Linked DNA regions of Oryzias latipes. The protein of the gene in region 3 interacts with the protein of the main gene of each other region in a pairwise test. Links are inferred from orthologs where the notes say so. Each region holds a gene or a part of one and is shown on either strand. Other genes may lie near its edges.

Region 1 (5,785 bases), on a different chromosome or scaffold from region 3:
TAGCATTTAAAATAATAAATTGTCAAATGATGAACAAAACAAACAAAAAAAGTGCAATTTTTCAATATCACAACGTATATGATTATGACGTGGTAAAAACTGCCTACATATCTGTTTTCGCATATATAAAAGCAGAAAACTGTTACGGACATAATGCTATGAAAGATTGACTCAAATGTATTCATTTCTTAGCTATAAATGACAATTCTACCTTTTTTATAGACTGAATCAGTTAGGATGCAAAGTTCCGCTCATAGCTCTGAAATATATAGCTAAAAAATATACATTCAGGAACAGTTGGGAAAACAGATTTCTGATGCTACACAGCCCCAACCTACAGAATACGAGGGACCCCCTGCTATTATTAGAACAAGTGGGCATCCACACAATGTGAGGCAGGTGGTGTTAGTGCTCCAACTCATTCAAAAAGCTTCCTCTTTCTGCTTTCTTGAATAGACAAAATATATATACATATTTTTCAAATCATTTTAAACATTGATCAAAATGCTGCAGCTCATTCAGATGGATATAAACAATCACCTAACAAACTTGATTGGATTCTTTGCAATGTGTTTCTTTATAGGCAGACTTGCATTTTGAACCTTACAGGACGTTTTGCAGAATAAAAAAAGAGGTTTCAGTCACTGAAGGAAGATTCACTGTCAGAACTGGAGGCAGCAGCCCCTTCGTTCTCTGTGTTGGCTCCTGCTCCGTCGGGCACAGGGGCATCCGGCGTGCTATTATCAAAAGACAAGAGGACACATTTTTGTCATTATTAGTGGAATAAAGATAAAAAAATAGGAGCGCTGCTATTCACCAAACCATGTAAACTCACTCGAGTAGGCTGGGGTCCAAACCCTCCAGGATCATTTTGTTCCTGATGGCCATCACTGGAACACCCTTGAATAATAATAAAAAAATACATTACATAAAATAATACATTAAATTACTGAACAAAATATGACTTTTGTTAAACATTTACATCAGATAATAACTTACCACTTGAACCATTTTCAGGTAGCGGGCATATCGTGGGTCTTTGGCCACTGTGAGGACATTCTCTGCAACGGCTGCTGCTTTTTGCTCAGGAGCTTCTTGTCGTGCCTCCTGAGGCTGAAGCATGAAGAAACGTTGAAAAGCAGCTTTAAAGGAAACTATAATCCTGATGAATATGGCGAAAATAATATCTGTACACTAAACAGATGCTCAGAATGTTTCTGTAACGCACACAGGCAACCAGATCCCTGCTATTCAGTCTATATTACTAACTGGTTCCTTATTTGTTGTGTAAATAAAGCAAGATTGGAAATTTCAAAACTACAAAAGAGAAATATGTGGGTCAAATCGAGATCAGCTTGAAGGGAATGAAAAACCACAAAGTAAAATTAAAAACAATTGAGAAAATTAGTGAACAGTTTTAAATTCAAAAGTACACTTTGGTTATTTTAATTAAATTAAATTTTAAAAAATAAATAAGTAAATAAAAGTACATTCTCAACTTAACATAAACCTAAACTTGTCATCAATTCAGAATTCTGACTGTTATCTGGGGCTTTGAGCCCATTGGCTACCTGGACATGATTGACATCAGGTCATAAAGGGTATGATGATGTCATTTCCGCTCCACAACAGCGGTAGTTGTTGGCGCCGCCTGTGTCATCCCTCCTCTGATGTGGCGAACAGTAGTGATAATTCTCTCCCAAAGTTTGGTACATCAATACAAAACAGCAGCTGTTACAAATATATGTTAATTTTCATTTGGTAACAGTTATAAGTTTATAGTTTTTCTTTTTAATTTTAAGTTTCAACTTAAAAAATTATTTTTCAAATTTTCTATATTCCTCTCAAGTTTAAAATCTTTTTTTTTTTTTCAAAGTTACAATTATACTTTTCACATTTACAACATTTCTTTCACATCTGTTTTTGAGTTTAAAACAGTTTTAAATTTTATTTTTTGTGTTTTTTCCTTCACTTTAGGTTGATCTGGATTTGACCCCATAGGAATTCTACATTACACAAAAATTTTGTAAAGCTATTTTAGGATTATTTTCATGTTTGTCATAAAATAAAATAAGAAAATCAATAGAGATAATTATATATTAAAAAAAACTATAGTAAAAAGGTAAATCATCGGTCGACCTTTCACAATATGAATGTACCATAATCCTTATGTATCAGGTTTGAATCTATAAATTTGTGAAAAACTGTGGGGGAAGGGGGGGTTGGGATATTTGTGTCTTTTTTATAACAAGTCTGAACACTCACCACTGAGGAAGGAACTGCTCCCACTGAAGACCCATCTGTTTGGATTTGACTGGTTGGAGTGGGCCCATTTGTCTGCACACTGTGCTGCTGGTTCAGTCCATCTACTGTGACCTCCTCCAGCCCGGGAATGGAGGCCAACTGCTCCACAAAGACAAAAAACAACAACAAAAACATTTGTTAAAAAAAGAAATGACATCCATGACAATTTGAAAAGGGTGTGACAGCTCACCTTAGCCTCCAAAATGCACAAGGTGGTATCAATCTGCTGGATGCGAAGGGATATGTTTGCAAGTTTCTGTGGGGGAAATGTTGATATTTTGGATTGATCGAGTTCCCACCATGAGGGCTTCACACATTTTGACACTGATAAATTCAAAGTCAATCGAGTTTAAAGTCCCAATCATCAACTTTTGATCTATATTGAATGTGTTTCCATTGGTCTTTTAACTATGTTAATGTTGTTTTTTAGGCAAAAATGTAAAAAAAAACAAAAAAAAAACTGTTGTTCGACAGTTGGTGCAGAGTAAGCCCGCCCCTACTTCCTATCATCCATCTGTTTACATGCTCTCCCCAAGCTTACAGCCCCTCAAACACCCGTAAACTGACATTAAGAGGACAACAAAAATGGCGAGCAATTTTGGAGCTATCCAGCCGTACAGTTTAGAGCCAGATTCCAGTTCAGACGGGGAAAACAGAGACATACATGGATCTATTTGTCTGCAACAAATGGATGCATCAGCATGGAGAGGAGCAGGAAGCTTGTGACCCATCCGCCGCATTTTCTACATCACAAATACAATCTTTTTCAAACTGCATTTTTTCGTCTGCTCCCGATTTACAACAATTTGAATTAAATAATACTCAAAAATGCAATTGTAAGCTTAATTCCCTTAAGTATATTGAGATGAATCCCACAAGAAACACGTTAAATACAGGATTTCCATCAAAGTGGGTCTTTAACGATGTAAAAGATGCACAAACCTCTTCACAAACTGTGGAAAATCGGTTCAGGAATCGAACTGTGTGGACAACAAACTGATTGAGATAGGCAACAATTCGTCTCTGCTGTATAGCTGGAACCTAGAAGGGAGTTTAAAGTCATTTAATCAGGAAAACGATGACACATGAGAGCGAGTCCTATCAGATTCTGGAGAAATTTAGAGTCATGCTTAGTGCCAGCCTTTACAAAAACATGCATTTTAAAGTAAAAGAAAACACGAAAAATAATTCTGCAAATACAAAATCGTTGGGAATATTGATTGAATCCTATTATAATGTGATTAAAATCATGTTTATTATCCCATAAAGTCTTACTTGACTAATCTTTCAGCTACTTCTTTCATTCCCACGGAGATCTACAAGCGAACCATGACTGTTAGCTAAAAAAAACACAAACCTTCGTGAGGTCAACTCCAGACCCCACGATTGGCAAACCGTCCTCGTCCATGCTGGGTCGTTAAAACTCCGCGCAAACGTCCAGTATCGTTTATAATCTGTCTACATGGGGTGTAAATAAAGAAAACAGCACATTAAAAAGGTTTGTAGTGAAGGTTTCATGTGACTTGCGTAATTACGTCATAGCGCGTCCTATTCCTCTTGTCACTTCCGCTATATTGCACCAATGGCCTAACACTTCAGCTTTTATTTTGAAAACTTTAAAAAAATGTGTCTAAATAGAAAAATAAACAAAAAATTAAATAAAAAGAATTACAAGAAGAATGGAGAGGATTTAAATAAAACTACAAGGATATTTTCAGGTCAATGAGTAGAAAAGCCCATTGAGACGACTGTTGTTTTGAATTTTGGCTACACAAATAAAATTGAATTGAATTAAATTGAATTAAATTGGATCTGAAGTTTAAAATTGATTAAATAATAAATATCAACACTTAAAACCCTAATTCCATTTTATAGCACTGTTATTTCACATCTGGTTTAAAATACTATAAAGTTTAGTCAACAACCAACTTTATCACTGCGGTGAAACGTCTTAGTTTTTGGGCATTTAACTTGTGCACATAATCTATTGATAATACATTTAAAACAATACCATCTTAAATAAAAAAATATACATACTGAAATATTCGTGTTTATTTGCGAATATGCATAAACTACATAACAATGTTTTCGATTTTGAATCTGAAAACTCTTATTTTGAAAGCGGAACCCTCAAAAACATTGGAGGAAACGATGTTTGCGTCCCAACAGCGCATGTTAGCTAGAAAAACCAATAAAAAATATTTTTTTACAGTTACTGTTATTTTCAGACTTTTAACGCTGGACTATGCAAATGGACGTTTTTGGGTCAAAGAAGCAAACTAATCGTAAGTGTATTCAGATTAATAAATGTAGTCGTAAATCACGTTTATGCTTTGAAAATACTCTTTGGGACCCGACTAACTTAAGGAATGGTGTGGAGTATAAACTGGCTAACTGTTAATGTTGATGAAATCACAGGTAGTTTTTTTCTGTTATGTGATACATTACGTTTACAGACCAGTTGTACTTTTTATTGTTGTTGAATTTTAATCGTTTCAGTCAATATATTCCCATGTTAAATCGTTAACATAGATGTAAATCCAGCATTTATTTCAATTTCATAACAGATCATGAAAGGCACATCGCCAATTTAGCATTTGTTAAGGTTAAGAAAATTCTTTTTTAGACAATTTAATATCTTAAATTTAAAATTCAGCACATCATTTTTTTATTTGTAAGGTAATGCTACTTTTGAGTGGGGGTTTTTCACCTCTAGTAGTAGCATGAACATGCCTAAAAACAGGCTAATTACTGCCCTCTATAGGCAATATTTTGCATCACACCTTTCTTTTTCAGACCCCAGCTTGCCTCTGTCATCCCTGCGTCTCTTGGTTCCCCCTCTCCAGCTTTTGTCTGCTGCTGTGTGGCATCTTGCAAAGCATAAAGATGTGTTAAATTACGACAAGCTGCAGGACTTTGTGTCTACTGTGACAGAGGCCATTCCTGGCCTAATCAACCCCCTACAGAAAGCCCAGCTCATTCTTGGACTAAGAGCTCGGGTGAGTGTCTTTTGTGTTGCATAAAGGAGTGTTTGTAGTCTATATCTTATGGCTGAGTAAATATTGTCATATTTCAGTTGATTTTGGAGCTGTGTAAAGGCTCAGTTCGAGGGGAAATTGATTTTGAAGTTATCCAGAGCTACTTGGAGAGATTCTCCGTAACTTCAGCAAACACGGGCGTAAGTCAGGTGAAGGAGCTGAACCACATATTTAAATATTTACTGTAGAGTGACACTTCTGTCTTATTGCAGTATGTGGATGCAGAGGTGAGAACAACAGAGTCTACTTTCATTGCTCTGATACAAAGCCTGCTGAAAGATCCAATTGAGAGGGCTTATTTCTTTAAGGTGAGATACCTTTAGGGACACATTGGGCATGTGTGTTCAAAAACCTGCTAAAAATGTAAAAGAAATTGTATTCTCTGTTCTATTAGGAGGTTTTTCCCGTTGAATATGGCCCACAGTATGACGCAGCCTTACACA
Region 2 (5,734 bases), on a different chromosome or scaffold from region 3:
ATCCCTGGCTTCTCCAGCCCCACCAGCTTGGGCAAACCCTCAACAAGGGCAAAGTGTTGGGATTTGTGGAACCTCTCCCTCCCCAGCTGCGTAATGCAACAAAACAAATCATTTCTTAACATCCATCACAAAAGCAGCAGAGCTGGAGGACAAAAATAGTGAGGAGTTTGAATTCTGAAGAGAAATGTGACGGATTGCAGTATTTTATATACAACCCCATGTAATCACCTCACAAAATGCATGGCATTTAGCAAACCCTGTTCACTGTTACATCATTTAATAATTACTTCTTAATTCAATTCACTCCAGTTCATTATGTTGCTGCACTTCTCTGTTCTTGTCATGAAAATTGATTTGAAACACGGAAGCTGACGTCAGAAACAGCAGAAAATCAGATACAATATATTTATGCGTTAACCAAGAAAATGTGAATAATTGTTGTTCACTTCTGTGACTTAACAATGAGCCTTAACCTTAAAGACCCACTCCACTAACTTAAAACAGATAAACATTTTGTGTTTTTCTGGCATTTTGCTGATAATTGAAGACAAATATACAGAAAATTGAGCTTAAAATTACATTTCTGAGTTTTTCTTTATTCAAATAGTTGTGCATCAGGACCAAACAAAAAATGCAGTTTCAAAAAAGACTATATTTGCGTTATAGAATACGCTGAGCGAGCCACAAGCTCCCTGCTCCGCTCCATTCTGATCCACTTTTAGACAAATAGATCCATGCACATTTTTGTTTTCCTTGTCTCAGCTGCAGTCTGGCTCTAAACTGTACGGCTGATAACTTCAACATTGCTCGCCATTTTTGTTGCACCACTAATGTTAAGTTGGGGTTGTGAGGGGCCTTTAAGCTAGTGGGAAAGTATGTAAACTGAGAGCTCTCAACAATGAGGAGGGTAAGGTGGGCTGGGTTACTCCAACTGTCCCAGACATACGTTTTTAATGAACTCCCTGTAAACTTTATTAAACAATAACAATGTTTTTTATTTTGGCTAAAAACAGCATAATCATAATTAATCACTAGGAATGCTCTTACAATAGATCGAAAGATGATCGGAGTGGGACTTTAAAATTGTATGGACAGCACCAACACATTTCCTAAAAGAAGTATAATTTAGAAGTACAAGTACCTGAATATTGAGAAAGAAAAAGACTAGTGACTCCACTACATCTCTACAAAGGTGCACAGCTTGCTCCCCCGTTGACAGCCACCTTAACGTGGTGGGGGAGTTTGAGAGCTCGAGTGATCCCAGGAGCTAGGCTGTCTGGGGCTTAAGACCCTGATAGGGTCTCTCATGGCAGACAGGTCCTGGGTGACGGGTCAGACATAGAGCGGTTCAGAAGCCCCTGATGAAGAGTAATACCAAGGAGTCAATTACATCGCCCGGATTGGTGTCACCGGGGCCCCACTCTGGAGCCAAGCCTGGGGTTGGGGCTCGTAGGCGAGCGCCTGGTGACCGGGGCTCTTCCCACGGACCCCGGTCGGGCTCAGCCCAAAGGAGCAAAATGGGACCACTCTCCCATGTGCCCACCACCCGTAGGAGACCTCAAAAGGGGCCGGTGCAATGTTGCTTGGGTGGCAGTCAAAGGCGGGTGCCTCGGCGGCCCAAACCCCCGTCATGGAACTTGGCTTTTGGGACATGGAACGTCACCTCTCTGGGAGGGAAGGAGCCGGAGCTTGTGGGAGAGGTTGACAGGTACCATCAAGATATAGTAAGGCTCACCTCCATACATAGCATGGGCTCTGAAACTCAGTCCTTAGAGAGGGGTTGGACTGTCTACCACTCTGGAGTTGCTCATGGTGAGAGGCGGCGGGCTGCTGTGGGCTTACTCGTGAGTCCCCATCTCAGCCGCCAAGTGTTGGAGTTCACCCTAGTGGACGAGAGGGTCATGTCCTCCACCTTCGGGTGGGGGACAGGTCTCTGACTGTGGTTTGGGCTTACGTGCCGAACAGCAGTTTAGAGAGCCCGGCCTTGTGTCCAGTACCCCTCTCGAAGGGGTACCCCAATGGGGGACTCTATTGTCCTCCTGGGGGCCTTCAATGCCCACGTGGGCAATAACAGTGTGACCTGGAGGGCAAGATTGGTAGGAATGGTCTCCCTTATCTTAACCCGACCGGTGTTTAGCTATTGGACTTCTGTGCTCGTAAGTTTGTCCATAACAAACACCATGTTGGAGCACAAGGGTGTCCATCAATACACGTGGCATCAGAACACCCTAGGCAGGAGGTCAATTATCGACTTTGTAGTTGTATCAGGAGATACAAGACCTTTGGCCTCGTGTCTTGGACACTTGGGTAAAGAGAGGGGCAGAGCTGTCAACCGATCACTACCTGGTGTTGAGTTGGATTCGCTGGCGGGGAAGGAGGCCGCAAAGACTTGGGAGACCCAAACGCACTGTGAGGGACTGCTGGGAACATCTGGCTGAGCCCTCCGTTAGTGAAGTCTTTTACTCCCACATCCGGGAGAACCTCAAACAGATACCGAGGGAGGTTGAGGACATTGAGTCCGAGTGGACCAAGTTTTCCACTTCCATTGTCTCTGCCGCTGCTCGAAGCTGTGGTCGCAAGGTCTCTGGTGCCGGTGCGGCGGCAACCCCCGAACCCGTGGTGGACACCGGAAGTAAGGGATGCCGTCAAGCTGAAGAAAGAGTCATACCAAGCCTGGCTGGCTGGTGCACAGCTTGACATGCATACCCAGCACCACAGTGAAGGATGATCCTGCCTGATCTTGAACCAGCAACCTTCCAGAGGTCCACATAATTAACCCTTTAATCACCGCTAGTTTGTCAAAACTACTATAATCATCTTTTCTTTAGCTGTTTTTGAAAATTCATATTTTAAAATGATACAAGTTCCCTTCAGTTTCAATGTAACTGAACAAAATTTTAAAAAATAAATGTTTTAACCAAGAAAATCTTTTTTTAATGTATTAATCCAACCATTATCACACAGGAAGGTCATAAAAAGCCAGCTCTTGTTGACCAACTGCGTTGTGTGAGTAAGAGGTCAACACATGTGTCCATTGTAATGTAAACACACATGTATCTCCATGAGTCCTTTCTTTCCTATGGCATGGAGAGCCTCCAAACAAAAAACTATGACCCAGTAGGACTTTGACTTTTCCTAATCGTGTGTATATTTTGTTCTCACGTTGTTTTATCATTTTAATTTTTTTTAAATGCAATAGAGATCTGAGTATTTATACCCCGATTGACCGTAGCAGTCAAATTGGTTCCATGTTTTTTTTTTACAGGGGGTTTCAGATTTCACAACATTTTCTTAATTTTTTCTCCTAGCTTTTTGTTTGTTTGTTTATGCTCTCTGAAACCAACATAGTTTTCTTTTTAACCCAAGAGAAACAAAAGTGAAAAATAATAAAAAGACAGGGGATGCCATGAACTGGAGAAGGCCTGATAAGATGAATATTAGGCTGCAATATTTTGGTAACAGTGGAATTACATCTTTTCATTTAGCATCCTGGTGTGTTTTTACTTATTACTACCTCTTATAAGTATCATAATCCAGATTGTATACAAATAACGCCAAGCGGTCAACATGACTGCCTTGGTCGTCAGTAGTACTGTAGTGGAATTCCTTAACCGAGTGCTTAACCATCGCGTTTGACTCTGAAGTCGAGCCAAAACTTTCAGACATGAATCCACTTACATGAAGATCGAATGAATTTCCGGGTAGAAACGGTAAAGACGACATGACGACGACAGGAACGAAGCGCTTTTCTTTCTAGAAGCTGCGGTGGGCAGAAGCCTGCTGTCCGTTGTTGCCGGTTGCTATGGAAACGTCAACTGTTGCTATGGCTCATAACGAACGTGTATGGTATATTTAAATGCGCACAAAAACAAAACAAAAACTAAAAGATAAAGGAAAGAAAGAAAACTGACGTTAAAGATCCATTCATGTATTGATTTTCTAAACCAGTTTTGGTCCCTTCCGGGGTCAGGGGGCTGCCGGAGCATAACGCCGCCACTCGTGGGCGAAGGCAGGGGACATCCTGGACAGGGCGCTAGTCTGTGCAGAGCCAGTTTAAGTTCCACACTAACCTTGTTTTGAGCCACTGTAAAAAAATGTTCACATTGGTAATTTGTAAAGATTCTGCTGTTTAAAAAAAACAAAACGTGTTATTTTCTAGGGCTTACAGATAAGCCTCCGCTGATATCCCATCATTCCATTGTTTACACTCTCTCTTCCACTAGCTTACAACCCCTCACAGTCCCAAGCTAACATTACCAGTGCAATCAAAATGGCGAGCAATATTGGAGCTATTCAGCCATCACATTCCAACTCAGACGAGGAAAACAAAAACGTCCATGGATGCATTTGTCTTCAGGTGGATGCATCGGAATGAAGCAGAGCAGGGAGCTGATGGCTAGCCTTTCTACCTAATATTCTCTCTATCAAACATTTTTTCATCAGCTCCTTATTCACAACAATTTTAATAAATAAATACTCATACAACTTTAGGTTCAGTTTTCTTTACACATGTCCTGCATCATCAGAAAAATACCACAAGAACATGTTAAAAACACCAAAAACACTGGAGTGGGTCTCCAATAAAACCAAAACCTTCAGGAATGAAAAATGTAAAAGAAAAAACTTAGTTCTGTTTTTTGGAGATGTTTTATTTAGATTTATAGGTCTTCAGTCTTCATAAATTCATCATAACAACAAAAAACACAAGAGGCAGAGCAGGCAGACATGATGACCCATGTAGCACTTTACATGAATGTTCAAGCTTCCACTCTTAAGCTGACTGACGCCTGCAGATCCAATGACGATAATGGAGAACAGGGTAAAAGGGTCTCTGCCACTCACTGCAGAAACGGAGTGCAAACGTTTGGAATAATATCAGCTTGGTACAAATAAATAAATAGAAAACATTCTGGTTTACTTTGATTTTAAAATTAAATCTGTGTGACAGGAATCCTTTAGTTGAGTAAAAGTTTTGATAGTCTAAACAGGTTCCTCTTTAACTCATCCTTCCTGTAATAATGTATAACGATTAAAGTTCATGGAGAACATAAGTTGGTTAAATATGAAATCCTTAAAAATCAAACATAGTCCTTCAGCTGTCTATCATAAATACCTTCATATATCGTGCTTAAATGATGCAAAGAAAAGAAAAAAAACTGCATTTATTGTACTTTCTGAAGCAACCCCTGCCAGTGAGGAACCTTTACCCAATCATTGATCAGCTGTGTTGCTCTGTCCCGCTGACATCAAAAGCTGAAGTGAAAGTGGCCGCTTGCAGTAGAAACGCCCCAGCACTGATCTGGAGTTGAGAAGATCAGCCTAGGAAGCCAGACCCAGCAGGAACCCTCCAACGAAGCCGCTGGTCACCACAATGTTTTTCTTCACAAACTCTGTGGACTGAAAAGACACATCTTTAACTTTGCTGAATCACACGGGACTTTCCTCCATACTCAAATTAATCTAAGTGGAGCTTTATCCTAAATAATAAGGCGTACAAGCTGACTAACCGTAGAACCCCTTAGAGTTGATGATGAAGGGCTTTTCCTGCAGTTTTTCTTTAGCTGAACACCAATTAGAGTGCTGTAGTGTTAACAGTAAGCATGGTTGTAAATAAATCCCAAATCTCTGAGCTTTTTTTGGGAAGTTTGTTTTGGACTAAAGGATGAAAAAGTTGTGCTTTTTAATTTTCCAATATTTTTCAGAAGCGAGGTTAAGGAACAACCATAGACTACAA
Region 3 (4,941 bases):
GTCTAGATGACCCAACTCCCAATGTTAAAGTGCCTAGGATAGCACAAGGGTCAAGGTAACCATTTATTGCGATTTTCGCCGTCTTTTGCTGTATGTATATTGCACAGCTTGATGTTGCGATAACGATAAATTTGCGGTATATTGTGCAGGCCTAGTTACTTACAAGGTCACCCAAAAGGCTTTTTGAAATGAACCGAAAGAAAATCTGAACAAAAAATTTAGAAACCTAATTAAAAGAAACTATTATCCTTACAGTACACTTAAAAAAGCCAGTCAATGTATTTTTTAAATGTGTTGAGCATCTCCATACCAAGTATCATGCAGTTTTTATTTTCAGTGTTTACTCAAACAATTCTTGCAATTGAAAAGAAGAGTAAATTACTTCTCTCTTCAAATCTCCAGGCTTGTCAGCTTGTGTGTCAGCTAAAATATGTTATCTATTCTTGTTTATTCATTTGTTCTTCCAGCAAAATGTGATTAATGTGATATCGCTGATGACTAAATTACACTCATCCCCCAAGTCTGAAGTGAAAACCAACAAGGTGACTGATTGACACAGGAGGAGACTCATCCTGCAAGGATGATGCTTTGTTTCATTTCAGTGAAAGGAAGTCACAGCAAGCCTTTGATTTTTTTTTTTTTTAATTCTAAAACAAAAACTCTTCTGTTTTATTCAAATTCAAATTAATTGTATTTATAAAGCACATTTCATGTAAAAAAATATAAAACAGCTCAAGGTGCTGCACATAAAAACAAACAAGAATACAGAAACCCCCAATCCCTATTCTTGCAAAAAAAAAGAAAAAGACGCCCCACACAATAAAATACACATCTAATATATTCACACTCCACGTTAAGGTAAGGCATTTAATAATCACAAATCTGCTTGTAAAAATGTCATCTGGTTTTGGTCAAAACTCTGAGTTTCAAAATTATTTTTTGTGCATTGACTCACATATATTTGATATCACTGGATCACTCACAATTAGGAAAAGTTGAGGAGACAGGGGGAAAAAAAAACACCTGATGATAACCAGAGACTGCAGCAAAAGACTTTTGGGCTTGTCCCGGTACTCTGTGATAAGACCCAATGAACTTGACAAGCAGGAGGGGAAACTGGGTCTCACAACAATGCTGCACAGTCAATCGCAGTAAACAGGCCAGTGAAGCCAGAAAGGTAGAGCTGACTGAAGATCACTCCCAGGTGTGTGATTAATTTTTGCAATATTTAGTTTTCATAACTTTTCAGAACTACTTAGCTCTAAATAGTAAAACACAACCAGTTTTTTTCTTTCTTTTTTTTTTACTTTATTCATTAGATTTTTCTCCTGATTTAGTCAATTTTTCACCATGTCTTAAATCAATAATATTAGAATATAGTCTACACCTTTTTATCCTCTTATTCATACAAAACCTTTTCAACCTAGATGATTAACGTTATTAGTTAATTTTTGTTTCCTCCTTTCAAGAGGGCTGTTCGCTTTGAGCTCAGCTTTGACAACACTGCCCTCTGTTGGTCATTCTGTGCACTTGCAAGGTGCTGCAGAGAAAAATGCAAGACAAGCTACCATCAGCCTTCAATATTCAAAAGAAATTCACCAACATCACAACCAAAAGATGCAAATAAACTTAAATAATAATTAAAAAGAACCAAAAAAATATAAAAATGGGTTTCAGGTGTGTCAACAGGACGTGACCTAAATTTAGGCTTCGAACTTCTGTAATTTTTTATTGAATTTCACTAGGGTCTCTTAGACCATATGCAGTAAAAGTAAGATTTTTAGAACAGTAAAGCTGAATCAGTTACTGACCAGTTTAAAATGATGAATCACTTCTCCGGCGGTCAGAGAGCTTAGAGTAAAGACGATTTTATTAGTGGGTATATTTACACTTCATCAAGACTATTAAATTGTTACCTAAAGGGCCTAAAACTTTGAACTTTTTCTGAATTTATCAGCACTGGTGACAGCATGACAAATAGCACAATTACCTGCTTCGTCATGGTGTTTATCCTCATTGCTCTTATGACTGCTCTATAAAGGAGTGTCAAATAGAAAATATAGATTTTTTACAGTAGAAAATCTTTACCAATGTGCCTAAATGTAATTTGAAAAAAAAAGGCTTTGTGTGTGACGAGAAAACACTTGGAGGCAACTCCCAAAAGCATTTTGCAGGAAATCCTTACTTTAGCTGAACGGCAAAATTAAAGTAGGAAACGAGACTGTCCTTTAAATAACCCAAATACATTTTAAAAAGTAGTAAAATAATAAAGAAATAGTACATTATTGAAGATTATCTGTTTGTGCCCCACTATTCACGAGTGTTTGTATACTTTCCTGAGTTCTTATTGATTTTAATTTAAAAAGTCACAATAACTAATAGATTATGTAAAATATTATAATTTTTATTTAGTCAACATGAAAGTGATTCCAGCCTTTATGGCTCAACTTAATGGAGTAAAAATAGGGTTATTTTTTTATATTTCTAATCAGTAGTTAAACTTCTTCAGTTCTTCATGTCTTGACTGTCCAGAAGGTCAGCAGAAGTCTTCCTGTCGTCACTTCTGAGTTCTTCCTCTGAAGAGTCTTCAGAGCTGTTTACTACAGCAGCGCTAAGCGTGTGGAGCTCCTCCAAAACACTCAGGAGTCTCTCTTGGAGAAAACAGAGTTAGCCCTGTGTGAATGTTAGGGTCTAAAATATTGGTTACGATTAGATTAAGGATATTTCTCAGCACCTGCAGGAAGGTGGACCTCTGCTTCAACAGAAGTCCTCTTCTCTGAAGGAGTTTCTCGACTCTGTGCGTGTTCTGCCATCGGGGCCTCTTTAGAGGCCATGACCTAAAGCACAGTCACGTTAAAAGACACACACACACACATTTCTTGTATAGCGTTTTTGTTTTAAAGTCTGTTCTTACATGTAGAAACTTTTTGCTCCCCTCCATCTCCTTTACATGTTTATTCAGGACATTTTGTTTTGTGTTTTCACCCCCCCAGTTTGGAGTTTCTGTTATCTCATCGTGTTGTCTTGCTGCCTGTCTCTGAAACTGCAGCAAAGTCATAACTGCAACAGACAAAACAGACACATCAGAAGCCACAGGGACATGATCTTCCATCACACGGCTAATATACTGTGCAAACAGATTCGACCATATTAAATTACAGTCTGCATCAGTAATAAACCTCGGCGCTCTGACGTGGAGCTGCGACAGGCAGCGACGAGGATCTACCTGCTCTGGTGTGCTCTCTGCGGGCTGCATGCAGCTGGAGCTCAAGCTCTTTCGTTTTCTCAGCGTGCGCAGCCTCAATCGCAGACACTCGTTCCTGCAGGGCTGGAGGAGAAGAACAAATGCACCTCAGGGGATGAACTCAACTTCAGTGCATCAATGGATCAATTCTCCTTTCCAGGGCAACATAATGAAACAGCACAAAGGAACGAGTAAAAGACACTTCTGATCACTTTTTTTTTTTTAAAGGAAAAAAAGTTGTGTTTTTGCAGCCTCTTTTCCCCGTTGAGGTTTTTTCTGTCTGTTTACCAAAGTGTTGGGTGTAATTCTTTCTTCCTCTCTCCTTTGCTGCCTGGCAGGTTCTCAGGCTGTACACCTGCCTGCAATCATTCATCTCATCAACTCAGCAGTGTGTCATGCCAAAATCATAATCCACTCATCAATTGTTTGTTGCTCCAACTAATGTGGATGCCTGCATGCCGACCTGCCAGTCAGACATCCTCTTCAGCCCTCTGCCTTCAACCAACACAATCCTAAATGATTCAGAGAATCAGCACTTCAGCTTTCCTTCCCTCTATATCTGGGTTTTAGTCTCCACAGTTGGATGGTTTTGTGGTATTTTTCTTCACTTTTTTTCCTTTTTAGGTACTATTTTTTGTAAAAAAAAAAAAATAATAATAATAATAATAAAAATAAATAAAAATTCCTCTAAAGGAAAGTAAACACTTATGGTAAACGGTAAATGTGATGCCTGCATCATCACTTAATATGGAAATCAAAAAGAACTGAAGCTAAGGAATCCAGTAGTGTTACGTTTTTACAAGGTTTGACACAAAATAATAAAAAATTGGATAAATTATTAATTAAAAAGCAAAATAAAAACATTATATGAAGACATATCCTAAACATTTTACACAAAATTTTGTTCTGATTTCCAGATATTTAAAAAAGTGTTATTCTTCCAACTACCAGAGAAAAAAAATAAGCCCCATCCTTTTCCACTTAGTAACATTGAAAAGCCTTAAATGTCCTCTTAGATACCAGATGAGTAAATTTAGTAGTAGAGAGGTTGGGAAATATTGGGGTTTAAAATACCCTCTATAATGGACAACTTTACATTTCTGGTAGTCAGGAGGACATGAACAATAAGAATGTGAACAATGTTCTTTATATCTTTTTTTCTCAAAGCTGATCAGTTTTTAACAAAAGTTTCAGTTTGACATGGTTGACTCCACTTGATCAGCTGGAGACATAGTGTCCGGGTCCCCGTAAGGCTGCTGAAGCATCAAAACAAGAACCTTTCCAGAAAAGGCCAGTTCCGTTCAAAGTCAAGTCGCTGCCTCACCCTGCTGGTTTCGCTCTTGCTGGTGGAGCAGCTCACAGGGAAGTGTCTCCAAGCTGATGCTGGTCTCATCCAGCTGTGCCTGGATCTGCTGCAGCCTCTGTTCCGCCTTCTCTTTACCGGCTAGAGCCTGTTTCACCTCCATGCAGCTCAGCTCCAGCTCCTGCTCCAGCTGCCTGACTTTACTCCCATCTGCAGACAGAAGAAGTCTAATCCCAATCATGGATTCCAGAAAAGTCATAAATCAAAACATGATCTCACATTGTTCCTTCAGATCAGCGAGAGCTTTCTCAATGAGCTCTGGGGTTCTTTTGAGCTCTAGACTCAGCCTGTCTCGCTCCTCGCAAATCAGACCGTATTCCGTCTGCAAGTTTGT
Region 4 (5,858 bases), on a different chromosome or scaffold from region 3:
GTTCTTATCATCCATCCATATGGAGAAAACCTACACATAAAAGCTGCCAAAATATATGTACCCGTTTGTTATCCCCCCTTAAAAAAAAATCACATTAAACAATGATGTTGAAAGAAATTTCCCAAAATGAAAAAGAGAGCCAATGCTAATGTCTGTCACATCCAAATACAGACTGTAGGAATGACAGCTTAAAGCACGTGTCAAACTCAAATGTGGCCCGCCATGTCATTTTATGTGGCCCGTGAGAGCATAAAAGTTTTTGATTTCTTAGAATAAAAACTAAAAATTTGGTACGTATCTATTCATATCTAGGGGGAATCTGACTTGAAATATTGGATTGAGTAACTATACATTAGGACTTAAAGATTGTCCACACAACCCAACCTGACAGACTCAAATTTAAAAGGATTTATGGTAGAGTAACAAGCAAACATGTGTTTTCTATGCAACTGTAATTGTCACTTAAAAAAAAGTAAATAAATAATGAGTTATTTAACATTAAGGAGTATTTGCATTTATTTTTCATTGCATTTAGTTACATGTATAAGTTATATTTGGCCCTTTGAGGACAGCCACTATGCTGATGTGGCCCTCAATGAAAATGAGTTTGACCCCCCTGGCTTAAAGGAAACAAAGCTGCCAGTGAATCTTTTTACAGTTAACACTTTGGTGTTTTCTGTCTGACAGTCCTAAAAGCCTATGGTATTCCATATGAACTCATGATCCGTGTGCTTTCTGTGTGCACGGAAAAAGGCAAAAAAAAAAAGTTTACAAGTGCAAACTACACTTCTGGTTTCTCATTCTTGCCAGTAAAAAGTAGGACAACTGACAACAAGTGATGAAAGAAATCAGTTTGACAGCTTTTATTTTTCGCTCTTTGTAGTTGCTTTGTGGTCATGGCACAATAGTGAACATACTTTTACTCTCTACACTCCGAGCTGTTTTTGGATGAGGTTGGTGTGGGTTTTTCTGGTACCTATTAAATATATTGCTGAGGTTAAACCAGGTTTCAGAAAGCACAGAAAGTATGCAAAGCTCTTCCTGCAAAGAGCTCCAAATTGATGGGTTAAAGTGAGATCTGCCTTGCGTTATTTAAATGTAGTGTCTACATTTTTAAGGTTCTACTTTAGCAACATTAATAGGACACTTTAAAGACTAGAGAGTCATGAAACAACAGCGCCTGATGAGACAAACAAGATAGCAGTTTCACTATCACGTCTTCTTTTTTGTCTTTGGCGCTGTGTATTTGGTAGTTTGATGCTCCATTCTGTCATATTTATCGTGGCCTTCCCTGGGGACATAATGGAAAAGGGGAGAATTGATAATTCATCACACTAAATACTTTATATTCACGCTGCTTAACAGTACAGCAGCGTGCCAACATTTTATCTGGGTCATAACATGCATTTCAAATCAACACTCTTGATATCAGAGTAAGGATTTCCCATAGAGGGCATCGTTTTAAGTCCTGGTCAGGAATATTAGCTCTAAAAATCTGAAATAGTTACCGGAAGCAGCGGTTGCAGTACAGGCTTCCGTCACACGTGTGACAACGAAGGCTGGCGTCTTGATTACAGATGCAGCACCATGGAAGCTCTTCTTCTTCACTGTCTGATGACTGATGCATGACAGCAGCAGGTGAGATTCTGCTCTTAGGAGCAGGAGCCGAACTCTACACGCCACAGCAAAAGAAAGCAGTGTTTTAAATAAAATGCAGCCAAACAGCTTAAAAGAAAACACAGAATTTTGATCAATGAACATACTGATTTTTTAGACTTTTTTTTGTTTTCTGTGTTCCTGGGGCCACTCTGCTCCATGGGTATATTGTAGCCACTAGCTTCATCAAGAGCTGCCTCTTCTGAAAGCTGGAAAGTCAGAAAAACTAAAAAACATCTTAGCCAAACAGCAGCCTCTTGTGGTCAGAATGAAATGCTGTCCTCAAAAAGGTGCAACAAAGTAAGTGTTTAGTTTTAACTGCATTGTGAAATGCCCTCTGCTTTTCTGTGAATGCCTTACCTGCTTCAAGATTCTCCTCACAGCCTCTTCTTCAGTCTCTTCATCACTGTCAGGACTCTGGAAGTCCTCCATTGTGACTAAAAGTGTATTATAGAAATGTCAGTTACAAAGTTTTAAATTCAAAGTCTAGTCATTTTTCTCCGTCATAAAACTATAAATGTTGGTAAACTGCTCCCTGCACCTTTTTCTGGGTCCTGCCCCTTGAGCTGCGCCAGCCTCTTTGCCATATGGAGGACCTGCTCTTGGGAATGTTGCTCCTGCCTCAGCTCCTGCATTGCCTCCTCGAGAAGACGGTCTTTGTCCGCCTCCAAATGTTTCACCGTCTGCCGATTTTCCTCTAAGTTCTCATCCCATGTGGCACCTTCCCCTTTGTTCAGATCATTCATATGGCTATTTATGTCTTTGAACAAAAAATAAAATATTTAGAATGAAACCAGTTTTCCATGATTAGATTGTAGGGGCAGTAAATTTTATTGCTTTTTAATTAAAACTATTTTTTTAAACAAGCAAAACATTACTTTGTTCATGGTTTAACTGCTGGTTGTCAATGCAAACTTCCTCTGTCATCTGAGTAATCAAATCATTAGCTTGTTCAGTCTGAGTCCGTTTATCAGGAAGCTGGTGAACCTGTCCAGACGAGAGCATAAGGATGTGTTAGCAGGTAGACCATACTATTACCGGACTATTTATGAGATACTTGAGACTCTACCTGGGTTGCATATTTTATAAACCATCACCCATAAAAGAGGTGGGGATTTAACTCACAGGAGGAGGAGCTTGAGATGGTGGTGGTTGACCCCGTAGAGCAGCCAGACGGTCCTCCATTTCCTCTATGGAAGGCACTGGCTGGCTGGGTGCTTTGAGAGCAGCGAGACGAGACTCAAGATCACTCTGAGAGGGAGATGGCTCTATAGAAATGGGGAAAAAAGTATGACAAATAGGAGGAAAACTCATGTCTATTATAGGTGTTTAATTTATGCTCATTAAAAAAAGATCCTACTTGGTCTAGTCTCCTCTTTTAATCTTTGAAGACGCTCAGCAATAATCTGATCTTCTTTACTTAGACCTTTACATGGTAGATGACCCGCTTTGTTGCTCCCTCCATGTGCAGCAGATTTCACAGACTGTCCCTGCTGTTTGGCCTCAAGGGCGGCGACACGCCTGTAAAAGACAGTAACTTTAGATAGTGTTCTTAATAAACCCACATGTATGTATTTTCCCCCTTTTAATCTGATCACATACTAACTTCTTGTAATTTTCTGGTGGGGACCATCTTCCGGCACTGCTCGGAGGTTCTCCACTGATGAAGAGAATAAAAACAAAAGATTATTCGACTTTGGAGAGTTCATCAACATAATTCAGCAGCACTTTTTATTTATATATTTATACCTTGTCAGATTACCGTGACATTGCTTGCAGACCTTCTGTTGAGTGTTTCCGCAGCGAGGCACCACAGCACTAAAAGCCAAACAGCTGGGGCAAAAAGATCGCCCGCAGTTTTTACAGCCCAGCTATAAACACAATATTATATAGAATAAGCCTTCAGTACACATTTATCAAAACACAATCGTGTCATGTTCATATTAGCCATGATACTACTATACCTCTTTTTTGAAAAGACTAAACTTGGATGCGCAGCAATAACAGCGACCGTCCATTCTGCCCCTTCATTAAATATGAGGTTATCACATACGATACACCAGCAATTAAATGTGAAAAGAACTTTGCAAAATTAAGAAAAAATAAAATTAAAAACACAGAAAATGCTTCCTCCTGTTCTTGTATTATATTACTGAACGTAGCTAGAACCAATACCGGAAGTAAACCGGAAAACGTCATTTGTCGTCATCTTTGTTTTTCCGGTATTTTCAACCCACCAATCAGCTTTCTCCTTGTGTTCTCGCGGGACTTGTTCAAAAAAAACAGCGAGCTAACCGTTTCAGCTTTGCACGGTCCAAGATTTACCTGCTTAAAAACTAAAGAAGCTTGTAAGTAGTAATAGTAATATTTCATGTTTTATATTGAAGAAAATTTATTTTATTCTAATTGATTTGCCGAGTCTAAAAATACGGCCACGATTAATTTAAAGCATGCGAATAAAGTGATGGAATATCCATGGTTACACACTCCCACCCTACGCTAAGCTAACTAGCTTTTCGAACAACAACAACCTGTCTTTTTTTCAATTCTCAGAATGAAAACATAATCTGTTTTATCTCAGAATGAAAACATAATCTGGCATAGTTGGTTGCAGCTTGTAGGTTTACACGGTAATACCCCGTCTTAACTGTTTTGTCTACTGTTGATATTTGTGGATTATGGAAATCCTGTAGCAGCACAAACTGATTAAAATAAAATGTATGTATGTAGCAAAGGGCAAAATGACCATTGTTGTGATTAAATTCACATAATCTTTGGTTTGCTTACCTTTAATATCCTGTGATTATTTCAAAGTTTCTGATTGGAGTTTTTTGCCCTCTCCACCTTTTCCAGCATTTCCACTATGGCGGAAGGTGGTGATGTGGAATGGGAGCTAAGCAAAGAAAACATTCAACCACTAAGGCGGGGAAGAGACATATCTGCCTTACATCAAGCCTTAAGTCAGCAACAAGATGGACCCACATCAGCCATAAACCAGCAGAGACAGTATGGATGCTTTTGCAAACACAGCTATTGATCTGAAAGATTTTCAGCTGAAAATGTTTTGGAGTTTGAACATAGTTTTGTTTCCATTATTTAAAAATGTAAACTATCCTGTGTTCACAGAACATTTGAGTCTGAGCTACGCATGTATGATGGAGACGATCCTCTTGGTGTTTGGGATAGGTAAGCGACTTCTAACTAGGAATGCAACAATTCACCTTCCCTACAATTCGGTTCAGACCTCGATTTTTGGATCAGATATGTCCCGATCTGTTCACGCGATTGGAAATGGGGCCCAAGCTTGTAGTTTAATCATTATTGAATGTTTTATTTCCATCAGGAATCAAATATTTATTTAATTCTTATTATGATCAGTGTTACATACATCAAACTTATTATTACAGATAAATGCTCTGCTGGAAGTCTGCATATCATGAACAGATACCAACATTTTATTGCCTTAAAGCTCAGCAGAGTATGGCACTAGTTTGAGTAGGAGGTGGTTGAAAACAATTGGATAAAGTTAGCAAGAAATTCATTGATACAGACTTTTCAGGATCAATAACTCCTTTTAATAAACATTTAAAACTGACAGGAAGTGTCTGTATTGGTTTGTCCTAACACAAACAACATTCAAATTTCATATTAAAAGAAAAATATTAGTTTTTGATTTCTTTTTATGAGAATTGCTCAGTCTGTTTTGAGAAATTTGTACCTGAGCTGCCAACTGAGAGGCGGCAGTGAATCTTACACCGTAAATATACTGGAATGCAGTAGTGATGCAATGATTAACTTTCACCACGATTCGGTTCATTGGTGTAACAAACTATTCTAACTTTCCCCAGCAGGAAATCAAGCGACTTCTGGTTATGTCCTCTGATTCTTCAGTCACTGGGGTTTTTTCAGGGTCATGATCTGAAATTGTGCAGCTGCTCTATGCCTCCCGGAAGTCAAATGGTTCGATTTTAAACCGAGATTTGTGGGATCCCTAGTTCTTACAATAAATTTAACTTGCAATTGAATGTGCCAAATTTTTTCTTTTATTTCTTTTTTTTCTTTTTGAATGTTTGCCAGACTAATTCAGTTGGTAGAGTTTAAAGATCTTTAGAAAACCACCGATTTTCAAATGTTTGAATCTCTAGATCTAAAATGTCTTTGTACCTGGTTGACTCCTTACAGATATATAAAGTGGACAGAAC

Evidence for each region. The genes of interacting proteins can lie anywhere in the genome.
Region 1: the proteins of coiled-coil alpha-helical rod protein 1 (region 3) and washc3 interact in binary tests that used the Homo sapiens proteins (3 or more experiments, as listed by UniProt). The link is inferred for Oryzias latipes from reciprocal best matches to the Homo sapiens genes CCHCR1 and WASHC3.
Region 2: the proteins of coiled-coil alpha-helical rod protein 1 (region 3) and efhc2 interact in binary tests that used the Homo sapiens proteins (3 or more experiments, as listed by UniProt). The link is inferred for Oryzias latipes from reciprocal best matches to the Homo sapiens genes CCHCR1 and EFHC2.
Region 4: the proteins of coiled-coil alpha-helical rod protein 1 (region 3) and zfyve19 interact in binary tests that used the Homo sapiens proteins (3 or more experiments, as listed by UniProt). The link is inferred for Oryzias latipes from reciprocal best matches to the Homo sapiens genes CCHCR1 and ZFYVE19.

The regions. Positions count from the first base shown.
Region 1 is NC_019881.2:17,520,451-17,526,235, reverse strand, and holds the start of washc3 (WASH complex subunit 3), read right to left. Parts: upstream 3,862-5,785; 5' UTR 3,713-3,861; coding exon 3,662-3,712; intron 3,346-3,661; coding exon 3,247-3,345; intron 2,561-3,246; coding exon 2,495-2,560; intron 2,404-2,494; coding exon 2,266-2,403; intron 1,114-2,265; coding exon 1,000-1,113; intron 901-999; coding exon 836-900; intron 738-835; coding exon 638-737; 3' UTR 1-637. Other genes in the region: zinc finger protein 252, read left to right, coding at 4,550-4,589, 5,101-5,303, 5,381-5,482, 5,555-5,650, 5,737-5,785. UniProt on the Homo sapiens protein: Acts as a component of the WASH core complex that functions as a nucleation-promoting factor (NPF) at the surface of endosomes, where it recruits and activates the Arp2/3 complex to induce actin polymerization, playing a key role in the fission of tubules that serve as transport intermediates during endosome sorting.
Region 2 is NC_019879.2:12,532,819-12,538,552, forward strand, and holds the start of efhc2 (EF-hand domain-containing family member C2), read right to left. Parts: upstream 3,862-5,734; 5' UTR 3,724-3,861; coding exon 3,679-3,723; intron 87-3,678; coding exon 1-86. Other genes in the region: fundc1 (FUN14 domain-containing protein 1), read right to left, coding at 5,320-5,397. UniProt on the Homo sapiens protein: Microtubule inner protein (MIP) part of the dynein-decorated doublet microtubules (DMTs) in cilia axoneme, which is required for motile cilia beating.
Region 3 is NC_019872.2:16,060,923-16,065,863, reverse strand, and holds the end of coiled-coil alpha-helical rod protein 1, read right to left. Parts: coding exon 4,827-4,941; intron 4,758-4,826; coding exon 4,569-4,757; intron 3,329-4,568; coding exon 3,227-3,328; intron 3,061-3,226; coding exon 2,915-3,060; intron 2,838-2,914; coding exon 2,735-2,837; intron 2,652-2,734; coding exon 2,506-2,651; 3' UTR 1,135-2,505; downstream 1-1,134. UniProt on the Homo sapiens protein: May be a regulator of keratinocyte proliferation or differentiation.
Region 4 is NC_019880.2:14,825,210-14,831,067, forward strand, and holds zfyve19 (abscission/NoCut checkpoint regulator), read right to left. Parts: upstream 3,862-5,858; 5' UTR 3,675-3,861; coding exon 3,621-3,674; intron 3,528-3,620; coding exon 3,406-3,527; intron 3,317-3,405; coding exon 3,263-3,316; intron 3,178-3,262; coding exon 3,017-3,177; intron 2,925-3,016; coding exon 2,782-2,924; intron 2,644-2,781; coding exon 2,535-2,643; intron 2,417-2,534; coding exon 2,198-2,416; intron 2,094-2,197; coding exon 2,017-2,093; intron 1,866-2,016; coding exon 1,764-1,865; intron 1,673-1,763; coding exon 1,509-1,672; intron 1,292-1,508; coding exon 1,213-1,291; 3' UTR 837-1,212; downstream 1-836. Other genes in the region: bub1b (mitotic checkpoint serine/threonine-protein kinase BUB1 beta), read left to right, coding at 4,520-4,662, 4,783-4,842, 5,839-5,858. UniProt on the Homo sapiens protein: Key regulator of abscission step in cytokinesis: part of the cytokinesis checkpoint, a process required to delay abscission to prevent both premature resolution of intercellular chromosome bridges and accumulation of DNA damage.